Linked DNA regions of Nothobranchius furzeri. The protein of the gene in region 1 purifies or fractionates together with the protein of each later gene. This does not show direct contact. Links are inferred from orthologs where the notes say so. Each region holds a gene or a part of one and is shown in the gene's direction. Other genes may lie near its edges.

Region 1 (3,977 bases):
GGAACTTAAAGAAACAGAATAAAACATTTTCCCATCGTAAAGAAAACTCCCTTAAAATATGGACAGTAACAAACCTGCTAAATTCCTTCCAGAATCTTTGTGTAAAAGAACAGCACCAAAAAAGATGTGTCACAGTTTCTGGATGATCCCCACAGAAAGTACAATTAGTATTTATGTCCCTTAGTTTTGAGTTTTAACCACAGTGACACAAGTGAACGTGAACTTTCTGTTGTGCAAATGTCGTCCTCCTGTGGCTGTTTGGTGGCACTACATCTGGTTAGCAATGGCTTCACAAATTTTTCCATTAGTTGCTAAAAAATGAAGAAAACGGAACATCTGTGATATGAAAGGAATCAAAATAAAAAACATGACTCAGTAAAAGTATAGATATGCAGCTCATGTTTGAAAGGTTTTGTGTTTTATGACTCAAGTTGATTAAATTTGGTTGTTTTAAAATATCACAAATCAATTTGTATATTTAAATATATACATATTAAACATAGATAAGCAGGTTTTCTTAAGGATTGAAAAAAAATTGTGTTCTAATGAAAAAGACCCAGTTCATCTACCTGGTGTGAAAATGATGACATTGACGGTGTATCTTTCTTTTTTTTAGATCACAGATGCTCGAACAAAAATTATGATTTTATTCAATTACTTCGATAGAAGGAATTTTCATTTAAATAAAATGTAGCAATTAACACATATTAATTATGACCAATAAGATGTGATATTCCATACAAATATGAAATATCAATCTGATTGATCTTTGAATGTTTAATCAGAAGATTCTAGGGTCCTTTGCTTATTCAGGGACCAAAAACACACCTCGTATAAATTCAGAGTCAGTGTATAGTTTATAAAATGAATTTTATTATTGCATTCATTATTAGGGGAATATTTCATATAAACTCCCATAAACAGAATATGTTGCCACCAAGTCAAATTACCGATTACAAATAACTGTATATTAAAAGTTTATTTAGACAAAAAAAAGTTAAAAACAACTGCATTTGTTGTTATTTTTGTGAATTTGGTTGACTTTTATTTTTATTTAATAACTTAAACATTTACTGCTACATCAAAATGCATTACTTATTTTTGAAACAAAAATGTGTATCCTTTAAAAATAAAACGTCTGTAAAAGGATGAAAGAGATGGCCATAGAGGTACATTTCTTTCCGGTTGCGTCATGGACAAATTTACATTTGTCCACATGGGGGCGGTAATGAGACCGTATTCCATCGTATTAGGCGGAAGCAGAACTGCGTCAGTGCAGGTTGGTCATCACGCTTTCAACATGGCGGTGAATCTTTCAGACCTCTCCATGCCTCAGTTAGAAGGATTAAAAACCCAACTGGATCAGGTATTATCATCAGTAACATGCTGTATTGGAAGTATTTGTATTTATGTAGCTAAATGCACGAGGTATTGTTAAATAGGAGACCGATGCGGGCTAAACACCCCCGTTAGCGTTCTGTGCCGTAGACAACCGGTGGTGTTGCTAACGGTGTTTCTGTCCCGGGTTGAATCTTTTTGTACATTTTGATGTTTCTTTCAGGAGGTTGAGTTCTTGACGTCTTCGATAAGTCAGTTGAAAGTTGTCCAGGCCAAGTATGTTGACGCGAAAGACAGCTTGAATGTACTGAACCAAAACAATAAAGGTGCGTTTTTAAATCACAATCTGACACAAACTGTTGGCTCCCGAAATGTTTATCCATACCTCTCACAAGAACTACTACTATAAAAGAATGACATTTAAAACAATCGGTACGATTATGATTTTTCATTGTGGTCTGGTGATATGTAGAGTTTAAAAAGTAATTCAATTCAGTTTAATAATACTTTATTAATCCCAGAGGGAAATTAGAGTTTCAGTACACACAATTCTGAGATCAGACATACATACATACATACATGACAAGAATTGGTCGCACAAGAGGGTTTATATGAGGAGATATGCACACAGACTTCAGACATTACACAACATAAGTGTCCACTAGGTGGGGAGGTAGGGTTGGGACTTTCCTCAGGTGCGTGCAGCCGCATGGGGGACAGAGGAGGGACATTAATGGGTTGGAGAGCACAGTGACTCCTAGAAATGGTTCCTTCACTGTGCCTTCACCTGTCAGTCCCGCCCAGGCTGGGAGAGGGAGAAAGAGTTGCCTATTTATTTGGATTGTGACCCATTTCTTTTCTCACAAACAGGAAAGGAATTGCTGGTGCCTCTTACAAGCTCTGTATCCTTTTTAAATTATCCAACATTCATTTTATTTAACCACTGGCATAAAATACATATATGAAACATCCAGGTGAAAGGAGCTGTAAGGTTTTGTCCATCGTTGTGTTATTTACTATCTTCCATCTACTTTCGGTTTCTTTTTTCTAACTTGAAACAGTTCTTCAGCAACACGTTGTTTAACATCTTTACACATTAAAATCATACATTTATTCACACAACTTAGCATCTTAGTGAAGGTGGATTCTTTTAGCATGTTTGTCCTTTACAGTTTTCTCTTCAGATGTATGTCCCTGGAACATTAAGTGATGTGGAACATGTCCTAGTTGACGTGGGGACAGGATATTATGTTGAAAAGGTAATATATATTTAGATATATATTATAAATAAATAAAACAGATTTTAATTAAGAAGAAGCTATTTAAACATGCGTGTTTGCTTCTTTAGAACGTGGAGGACTCAAAAGCTTTCTTTAAGCGCAAAATAGACTTTCTCACAAAGCAGATGGAGAAAATTCAGCCGGCTCTTCAGGAAAAGCATGCTGTGAAACAAGGTAAGGTTAATTGTGTGAATTTGACATTTAAAATCTTTTTTTTTCAGCATTTATAGATGTTCTGCAATCTGTTAGCTCTTTGATTATGTATTGGGAATTAATTGCTGTCAACTACTAACATTTTAATTGATCTCAATAGCTGTAAACCGACTGAGTTATATAGTCAGTTTTGTGTTTGCTATTGTTTATTAGCTGTGGTGTCAGTTGAATCAGAATGTTAAACAGTTTGAGACACATGTACGTTGATTATGTTTTATGAATTCTGTGAAGATCTGATTGTTTAAGAATTTGCGAACAGATGTGAAAACACATGTTTGATAAAAGATAAAAGGGTCAGTGTGTAGTTTTTAATCGTTAATCTCTGGAAATATCCTTCAAAATTAAGCTATTTATAAAACCAGATAACGTATATAATTTCAGATACAAACGTAACTTTAGGCATACATATTTTAGAACAACATTAAAGTCATTTTGTATTTCTGTTACGGGTGTAAGAGTTTGGAATAAGCTAAGTGGGGATCTAAAGCAAAGTCCCTCATTGCATACGTTTAAAGATAAGTATAAAACAATTATACTAACTAATCACATGGAGGAGGAGGAAAAGTTGTAAGGGTGCTGCATTTGATTGTAATTGTCTATGAACTGGGAGCTGTGAATATGGGGGGGGGGGGGGGGGGGAAACATAAAAAATGTAAATTTTGCTTGTGTGATTGAGGATAAAACATGTTATAAGAAAATGGCTATGACAGTGTAGGGAAGAGAATTTTTTTGTTTTTATCTTCCTTGAAATTTGATTTTGGGAGGGGGGGGGGGGGTGATTATACAAGCTACCAGAGCTTTTTTCCCTTCCTATTGAACATGTTTCTATATATATATATATATATATATATGCATATACATATGTATGGGTTCCTTTTTGAATACTTTAATTTGTCTATTGATTTACATGTTCAATAAAGAAAGAAATGAAAAAATGTTGACAATGACAAAGTAAATGATACCCAGTAGTTGATTAATATTGGTGGCTTCTCAACATATAACCATATAAATCTGGGGCCGGGCCTAAGTCTCTGGGCGACACCATATTAGATGCCATGTTTCCTTCTACGGGAGCCCTTAAGGACAAAATGCAATTACTGATTTGTAATAAACGATTACAAAATTTTCACCATTCATAAACATTGT
Region 2 (4,052 bases), on another chromosome or scaffold:
GAATAATGAGATGTTTCAACAAATTAGTGTTTTTCAACCTAAATAAGACAAAGAACCGAGAGATGTTAGTCTCGTCGAACAGAGCTCTGGTGGTTGTCCATCCCTAACTAGTGTATCTGCCGAACTGCCTTATGGGAGTTGAGAGTGTCCCTGTGGAGGGATGTTCCACAGAGCTGAAATCGAACCGGGTCACAAACAGATCCGGTACCGGAGGCTGTAAAGGGAATCTACTCACTTGTTTTTCAGCTCCGAGGACGCGTCCATGTCCTTGAACTCTCCAGCGATGTGAACGATCCCGTAGCAGGTCATCACAAACGATAATAATGTCTGCAGAACGATCTGTGGTGGGAGCAAGACGACGGTGAAGACAAATAAAAAGCAGGGCTCTCTCTGAAGACCAGAGATGGGTTACTCACGTCGATAGGCAGCGTTTCGTGCTCCTTCTCTGTGAGCCGCATGTATGACCGATCTGATGGGAGAGTTGGGATTTAATCAGAGTAATATCGACAATAACTCACAGAATACTCTTAATCCAAACATTAAACGACGGCAGTCACACAGAAGCGAGCAGGTACAGATTAAAGTCTTCCTCCGTTGGAGGCTCTAGCGGAGCTAGCTAAGCTGCTGTGGCCACAGGCCCCGCGGTCCTTCACTCGGTGGAGACTCAGTCCAACCAGAACTAACCAACACAGGAAAACATCGGTCTAACATCTTGGCGCTGAAACTCACGCTGTGCTGCCGAGAACGCTGCGTGGGCCAAGGCAAAGAGTCCGATGCCGACAACACCTTTCCAAAACGAAGAAGCCATCTCGAAGCAGGGCTCAGAGGGACTGTGGGCACCGTCGTAAAACAGTCGTAAACTGACGCAACTGTCACTGCGTCAAAACCAAAACCTACCTGCCAAATGATTATTTATGTTCGTTAAATATTATTATTCGCAGCCTGATATCTGTAAAATCATTTTATTTATGTGTTTTTGCCCTCTATTTAGATTTTTGTGAGCTGAAAATACCCAAAGAAAGCTGTCAGACGTCAAATGGTGCATTCGAATCACATCCTAAATTACATGTTTCTAACCAAACTCATTGATCTCCAACCAATATATTTGATCGAAAATTGAAGATTAGATGTATAACTAGAAAGAGCTTTTCATGGTTTAGTGAGCGTTTGCGTCAAAATAAGTCCAGATACACATAATTTTATTCTGACCTCGATTTAAAACCAGAATATCCGAGTGTGCCCTGAATCTTCCACTACATCCGGTCTCTGCGTAGCTTCTTCCTGTTAGCTAGCGCTGTTCTCTCATGTTGCCTTGCTAAGCGCTCTGTTACAATAATTAAACTTTTACAGTTGTGTAAGATAAAATAAGCAAACATGGCAGACGCCATTCAGAAGAAATTAAAAGCGGAAGTAGAAAAGTATGCACAAATGCAGAAAGGTGGGTTTTCTTTATGTGCTATCACAAGTTTTAGAGGGCATGTAGCCGCTATGTGTGCATGAAGTAACGTTAGCTTTTTGGCCATAAGAATAGTTTTTTAACCCACCTGCGTGTTTTTTCAGATGTTAGCAAGAACATGTCAGCCAGACAGAAACTGGAGACGCAGCTGACAGAGAACAACATTGTTAAAGAGGTAACTTCAGTCCTGTATGGCTGTATATCACAACGGTTTGTGTGTAATAATCCAGACATGACTCGCCTGTGTTTCCAGGAGCTGGATCTGCTCGACAGCTCAAACACCATCTATAAACTTATCGGTCCTGTTTTAGTGAAACAAGATCTGGATGAGGCCAAAGCCACCGTGGCTAAAAGACTGGAGTACATCAACGGGGAAGTGTAAGTCAAGCTGCTGCTTTACTGTTCTACAGCTCACCTGCACACCAATGTCTGTGTCACAGTGGTGAAAGATGGTTAGATTTGATCTTGTTTTTACAATTTCAGGTGGACGAAGCCGGTTAAACCCTGATTTTACTCAGACTCAGGCAGGAATCTTAATGGAAACAAACATAAAATGTAATTCTGAGCAATGCCAGACGCAGAGATGAGATCATCAAATTAATGCGAATATTAAAAAAACAGTTGGCCCTTATCATTTATTGCCATTGACAGCTAAAGACGTCATTTTAAATCCAGTGGCTCGCTGCAATTGACAACTAAAGCTGTCAGTTGCATTGTTTTAACGGGGTGGGCGTGGGATCGAGCCCCCGCACCATGAGAGTAAACATGACGTCTCTAAAGCTGATCTTAGTCCGTGTGTCACACGTCACCTGATCAGGAAGGAGAAAATCCATGAATTGGGATATTGTTTTGGGACGCTGCTGTGAAAAAAGCGAGGCGCTAACCAGAAAAGCGTCTGCAGCTCACACTTGGACAACAGATTGTGAAAGAATGGTTAACGCTAGAAACACGGTGATTCTTCCTGATGTAAAAAGTGAGTCTACTCTTTCTTTCGATAGTTTTGGCGTTTGCATGATCATAGAGCACAACGTTCTGACTCTTCAAAATCAGTAAAAACGCTCAAAAACGCTGGCAGCCAGGGGATTTCTGATCAGAAAACAGCGCAGTGAGTGAGTTAAACAGGATCCACCATAGTTCCTTATTTTCTTGTGGGTTGAAGCTGCTGACAGTCGCTTTTAAAACCATTTATTTAACCAGGAAGTCTCATTTTTAGTTGAACATGAAGGGACTTTCTTAAATTAGCGTGTTTGACATAACCGAATCCTTCACTAAGCGATTCCGGGTTCTAGCATGGCGGTGGTTAGGATGATACGTTTCACCTCTTGAGTGTGCACTGACGGAAGCATATTTTTTGCGTGTCACTTTTCCACTCAAAACGCAGCACTGAAGAGATGAAGTTGGAGAGGAACGGAAAACTTCATCCACAAAGACCAGCAGTTTGTTTTACTGGAGAATTAGACTGGAAAACCGGCATTCCCAGTTAGAACCAGAGAGGAATGTTTCAGTAAATCTGAGTAAATACCTGCTGCTGGAATTAAATGAATCAAATACAAAATCAGAAAATACAAAAAAAAACAATCGAATCCAGAATTATAATAGTTTTACTAATTTTGCTTGTTATTCTCATCATTACATATTTCCAGAGATTGTGAGTTAATTAAAATTAAAAAACACAAATTCCATATTTCTGACTGTGAGGATTATGTATTTTGATACTCGACACCCAATGTGTCACATATTAAAATATGCTGACTAATCCCAGCTGTCAGCCGAACGAAGGATTAATTGTATTGGACACAGAGACAATCGCATATTTAAACCTGGAAACAAACAAACAAAAAAATTTGAAAAATACAAAAGCAATGAGACAAATGAAAAACCTGCTAAACTTTGGAGAAGCCATGGCGCTCACACCGCCTTCACACTGGCTCAGCAGGAGCAGGAACACCTCCCGTTCAGGTTCAGTTATCCTGGTTATTCCTCCTCTCCTCCTAATCCTCAACCTCCATCTTTGAGAGTGGAGCTTGAAAAATCAGAAAAATGTGACGGCTGGATCGAATCAACAACAAAAATAATTTTCCTACAAGGCATTCTGTTTCGGACACACAATCATTTATGTTGAAACGTACCTTAAAGGGATACGATGTAAAGTTTTCATATTTTTAATCATTTTCTTGAGTAAGTATGTGCTAGAATGACCCTTAAAGGAGTCATCACCCGTTACTACCGTGGATATCTACATCACATTATATTATTTAGGCCATGAAAGTCATTTGTATTGGAAAATTAATTAAAAAAGTGCTTTTCTGACCCTTTTTTGTAAAGGACAGGTTTTCTCACAAGAGCACACGCGATATTTCGGCTGTGCTGGGCGTGTCATTTGGAACCGTAGGGTGTCCATGAAAGATCCCGCCTTTCTCGCCTCTGATTGGCTAGAAGGACTCAACTACGATTGGCTATTTTATTTAGCAGCAAACTGGCTTCCCGGCCAGTGAAAATTCATTAGGAAGACATTATATGGATTTTTTTCAAGTGGAAAGGTGAAAACTTCAGGTGATGACTCCTTCAGCAGGGTTACAGAAATGTAACTCAGACC
Region 3 (4,290 bases), on another chromosome or scaffold:
TATATAGGAAACGTTTATCTGATTGGCTTAATGAACTGACCTGTATTGGAATGTTTACCATGTGAAGTGCCTTGAGACGACTCTTGTCGTGATTTGGCGCTATATAAATAAACTTGAAACTTGGAAAAAAAAAATCAAACTAAACTTGAGTCAAGTAGTTTACTCCTTTCCCACCTCTGCACACACGTATCAAGATATCCAGTCAACCTAAATTATTAACATTACATCTTAAAGTTTTCCATTTAATAGGTACAAAATCTTCCATGATATCTCCTTTATTTTCTTTTACCTTCATTGTTAATGTGCAGATTGTTTCTCCTATCAGACCAGATGCTCTCTTCCTCCCTACCAGTCTGGTTCTGAGCTACTTAGCCTCACACAGCAGGCCTGTGTCTGCTGCCGATCAGAGAAAATTTTTAATGATTCAAGTTTTTATTTTTGATTATGAATAAGGGTTCTTTTACATATTTTCCTTCCTGCTGTTTCCGGATGTGTGAACTACTCCTTCACTATCTGATGAATCCTGGTATTATCATTTTGGAATATGCTCGTTCCATCAGGGAAGTTCGAATAACCTGGTCATTCAGTATATTTAGGTAGTCATCTGACCTCATTCTTGGAGCACATCCTGTTGCTGAACCTAGACCTGACCAACTGCAGCAACCCCAGATCATAGCACTGCCCCCACAGGCTTGTACAGTAGGCACTAGGCATGATGGGTGCATTATTTCATCCGCCTCTCTTCTTACCCTGATGAACCCATCACTAGAACAGGGTCCATCTGGACTCATCAGACCACATGACCTTCCACTAGTCCAATCTTCATGCTCCCTAGCAAAGTAAAGCCTTTTTTACCAGTTAGCCTCACTGATTAGTGATTTTCTTATGGGTACACAGCTGTTGCAGTCCCTTGAGTTCCCTTCACGTTGTTGGTATGGGAATGCTCTTACTTTCACTGTAAACATAGCCCTGAGTTCTACTGTTGTTTTGAACCAGTTACTTGAGACCTCTACCTTTTTAGTTCAGCTCATTTACCAGCAATGCCATCAGTCCTGCAGAAGAAACACAATTAATCTGCCTATCTCTTTTATCAAGTGTGAACAAGGCACTAACTCTGGCTTTCTACTCAGTGCGTGAGGGCAACATACAGTTAATAGCCACCATCATAGTCTCTTTTTGTCTCCACTTTGTCTCCACTGGGCACACACCGGTACATTTCAGATGCGTCCCAGAAGTGTAGTGTCATGCCAAGTCTACATTTATGTACTATGCTTCCAGTATGCATCAAGATCAGTAGTTCAAACCTGGCAAGACAGGGAATCAAACACAGAGTATAGTGTGGCTAATTGTGTAAAGCATCTGGCAAATTTCAAAATAAGATCCAAGCGGATTTCCTTTTGCATAACTGTAAAAAACATAACCTCCTTGGTGGAGGTAAAAAAAAAAAGGACAGAAAATGTTGTAGTCTCAGTGGGTCCCCAGTAGAGGCAGCAGAGCTTCCCCTTTACCACTCCGACTTCTTGTACGCATGCGCGTGCGTCAGGACGAAAGAAGCCTCTCCAACATGACGGCGACCATAGACAACAGCAATGCTTCACAGGCGAACAAAAAAAAGCACCTCGGTATCCCCGAAGCAGTGTTTGTGGTGCGTATAACCAGACGCTTCTGACGGTGTTACATGTTTGTAACGGATGTAATGTATATTTGGTGTGACCGGTTTGTCAGCGGCGCAATTCTGACTCAGCTAGGAGGCTAAGTTAGCAGGTGAGCTAACAGAGTGTCCTGCTGTGTGTGCATGTTGGGCGGCTGCTCGCTTCCATCTATGGACATCACTGTCTGCCTGTAATATTCAGCTCACCTGGTGTTTCTGAGGTCCTTCAGCTGGACTTACCTGCCAGAGTCAACTGTGTCTTTAGTTAGCTAGCTAGCTAACTAGCTTGTCCATTACTCAGAACAGTACTAGCATCTTGTCTGACGTGCCCTGTCATAGAGAGCATTAACGAGCACAGCTCAGCGATTTTTTTAAATATTACATTGAAAGATTTCCACTTTAATCTGCTAATGATATTAACTTTGCTAATGTTTTGAGATGGTATTAAAAATGTGAGATTTTTGTATAATCTGGCCAATTTATCTTGATTCGATTCTCATTTAAATTAAAACAGAAAAATAAAGATAGAAAGTAGGCCTGGGACGATAACAGAATTTGTTGGACGATATATTGTCCAACAAATTATTGACGATAAATGATATTATTGTTGACATTATCAAGACCAAAATAACCACTTATGTAATGTTAATATATCATAATAATGCAAGGACACCCATTAAAATGCAACAATTAAACCTTTATTTAACATGGGAATGTCCAGACCCTGAACTTCTAAATAAATAAAACAAACAAAAAATAAATAAATATAAAAGTGCTTTCACTCTTTTAGAAAATATTGCACCAAAAACAATAACGTAGACCCCGTCTCCAAAACAACAAATACAATGGCCTATCCAGTGTCAAGAACCAAACTGCACTTCAATAATAATTGTACATTTCTTAACCTCAATATATTGAGGCTTGATTATTGAGTTCATTTTCAGCCCTAATATGAAGGGAAAATAACACGCATTGGAGTGAACAATAATGTCACAATTAGATCAAAAGTTCAGAATACCATTATGTTTAATGTGTAAATGAATGAAAAATACCAATGACAGACTAAAAGGGTTAAAAATCAAATTATAGATACTTGTAATGCTACCAGATTTGTAGGTGATGTTCTTTGGTTACGATGAGTGGATAAACGGCATCATATTAACAATTTGGGTAATTTATTAATTACTTCAGTGATTTTTCTTCATGGCAGGAGGAAGGTTTACACCTGGACACATTCTCAGATTACAGCACCTTACATGAGTATAGAAATTCTCATTTTCTTTTGTCTTTGTCTTTAACACAACAAATGCATTAATGTAATGAGATAAATAGATTTTTTCTTTTATTATCTGTGCATCAAACCATTTTATAGAATACAGTAACTTTTTTTTTTACCAGTGCCCAGGCGATTTACTTCTGATGCTGTCAAATCAAATTTAAACTGTTCAATCAAAACTTTCTGTGAAAAGTACTTAACTGTTAAATCACACATTTTTTCTCATTTTTAACAGAAAAGCTAAAAGATCATATTTATTTTAAACAAAAGATTATATTATATTTGTATTTATAAAAATGTTTGTAATTTTTTTGGTTTGTTACATTTATTTGTTTAATCTGACACTAATTTAGGGTTTTAATTCTCACTAACCTGTTTTATGGTTTCATTTATTGTGACTTTGAACTTATAGGTATAACAAACGGAAAAGTATTTTAGGAAATGGTAAGACCTTATTTGTGCTTCCATGTTAAAAACACAAAGGCCAATTCAGAAAAGTGTAATTTCATATTTTGTCCACCAGACGGCGCTGCAAACACATCTCACTGAGACTTTAGACATTTGACTTTGTGGTATTGAAAGTCTCATTTGTGGAGTAGTTATATAGGCCTTTCTGTTTTTTAATCCCTGTTTGCTGTTTTCCAGGAGGATGTCGACTCTTTTATGAAGCTGCCTGGCAACGAGACGGCAGACTCTGCTCTGAGGAAGCTGGATGAGCAGTACCAGAAATATAAGTACATGGAGCTCAACCTGTCCCAGAAGAAACTCCGGTAAAACAGAAATACAAACACTACGAGTTATTCGGGTTACATTAATACGTGCATGAATTGATATGTGTGCACCTGGTAGATCTGTAAAGTAGGAAAGCTGGATGCTTATTTATTTAACTAAAATCATTCTTATTTAATAGGTTGAAAAACCAGATTCCACAGATCACACAGACGCTAGAAATCCTACGACACATGCAGAAGAAAAAGGTGGGTGAAGTTCTGTAAACCAGCTCCATACTGGAAGTGAGTCTTCTCCAGTTCCTCTAGAATGACAACATAGGGATGGGTGAAATAAGCTACCGTAAATCCTCTAATACAGGCCCGGGTCTGTATTTGACTCAAGCTCATCAAGCTCCAGGCCTTTATTGGAAGGAGGACCAGAATTAGAGGCAGGCCTCAATTTCTATTTGAGCAAAATGAACTAATGGTTCGCTGGAGTTTTTGACAATTAGAATTGCGCCCACATTTTCAAAGTTAAACACATTTCTTTTAACAACGGTAGTTTCTGCTTCAGCCCTCTCCCCCTGCGCAGCGGTGCAAACTCACTGATGCGCCTGCAGCCTCTCGGAGTTCCTGCTGCTCTAAACATTAAA

Evidence for each region. Proteins that work in one complex are often made in the same cells at the same time.
Region 2: the proteins of pfdn5 (region 1) and pfdn6 purify together in Homo sapiens (affinity purification with mass spectrometry; 5 studies listed by BioGRID and IntAct, with this or other methods). This does not show direct contact. The link is inferred for Nothobranchius furzeri from reciprocal best matches to the Homo sapiens genes PFDN5 and PFDN6.
Region 3: the proteins of pfdn5 (region 1) and vbp1 purify together in Homo sapiens (affinity purification with mass spectrometry; 7 studies listed by BioGRID and IntAct, counting the BioPlex papers as one, with this or other methods). This does not show direct contact. The link is inferred for Nothobranchius furzeri from reciprocal best matches to the Homo sapiens genes PFDN5 and VBP1.

The regions. Positions count from the first base shown.
Region 1 is NC_091743.1:50,185,884-50,189,860, reverse strand, and holds the start of pfdn5 (prefoldin subunit 5), read left to right. Parts: upstream 1-1,177; 5' UTR 1,178-1,192; coding exon 1,193-1,366; intron 1,367-1,561; coding exon 1,562-1,664; intron 1,665-2,208; coding exon 2,209-2,240; intron 2,241-2,522; coding exon 2,523-2,597; intron 2,598-2,686; coding exon 2,687-2,792; intron 2,793-3,977. UniProt on the Homo sapiens protein: Binds specifically to cytosolic chaperonin (c-CPN) and transfers target proteins to it. Binds to nascent polypeptide chain and promotes folding in an environment in which there are many competing pathways for nonnative proteins.
Region 2 is NC_091741.1:28,885,127-28,889,178, reverse strand, and holds the start of pfdn6 (prefoldin subunit 6), read left to right. Parts: upstream 1-1,252; 5' UTR 1,253-1,374; coding exon 1,375-1,438; intron 1,439-1,560; coding exon 1,561-1,631; intron 1,632-1,709; coding exon 1,710-1,834; intron 1,835-4,052. Other genes in the region: mmgt1 (ER membrane protein complex subunit 5), read right to left, coding at 236-339, 417-469, 730-808. UniProt on the Homo sapiens protein: Binds specifically to cytosolic chaperonin (c-CPN) and transfers target proteins to it. Binds to nascent polypeptide chain and promotes folding in an environment in which there are many competing pathways for nonnative proteins.
Region 3 is NC_091742.1:80,080,558-80,084,847, reverse strand, and holds the start of vbp1 (prefoldin subunit 3), read left to right. Parts: upstream 1-1,490; 5' UTR 1,491-1,528; coding exon 1,529-1,645; exon of another isoform or gene 1,646-1,764; intron 1,765-3,572; coding exon 3,573-3,697; intron 3,698-3,837; coding exon 3,838-3,904; intron 3,905-4,290. UniProt on the Homo sapiens protein: Binds specifically to cytosolic chaperonin (c-CPN) and transfers target proteins to it. Binds to nascent polypeptide chain and promotes folding in an environment in which there are many competing pathways for nonnative proteins.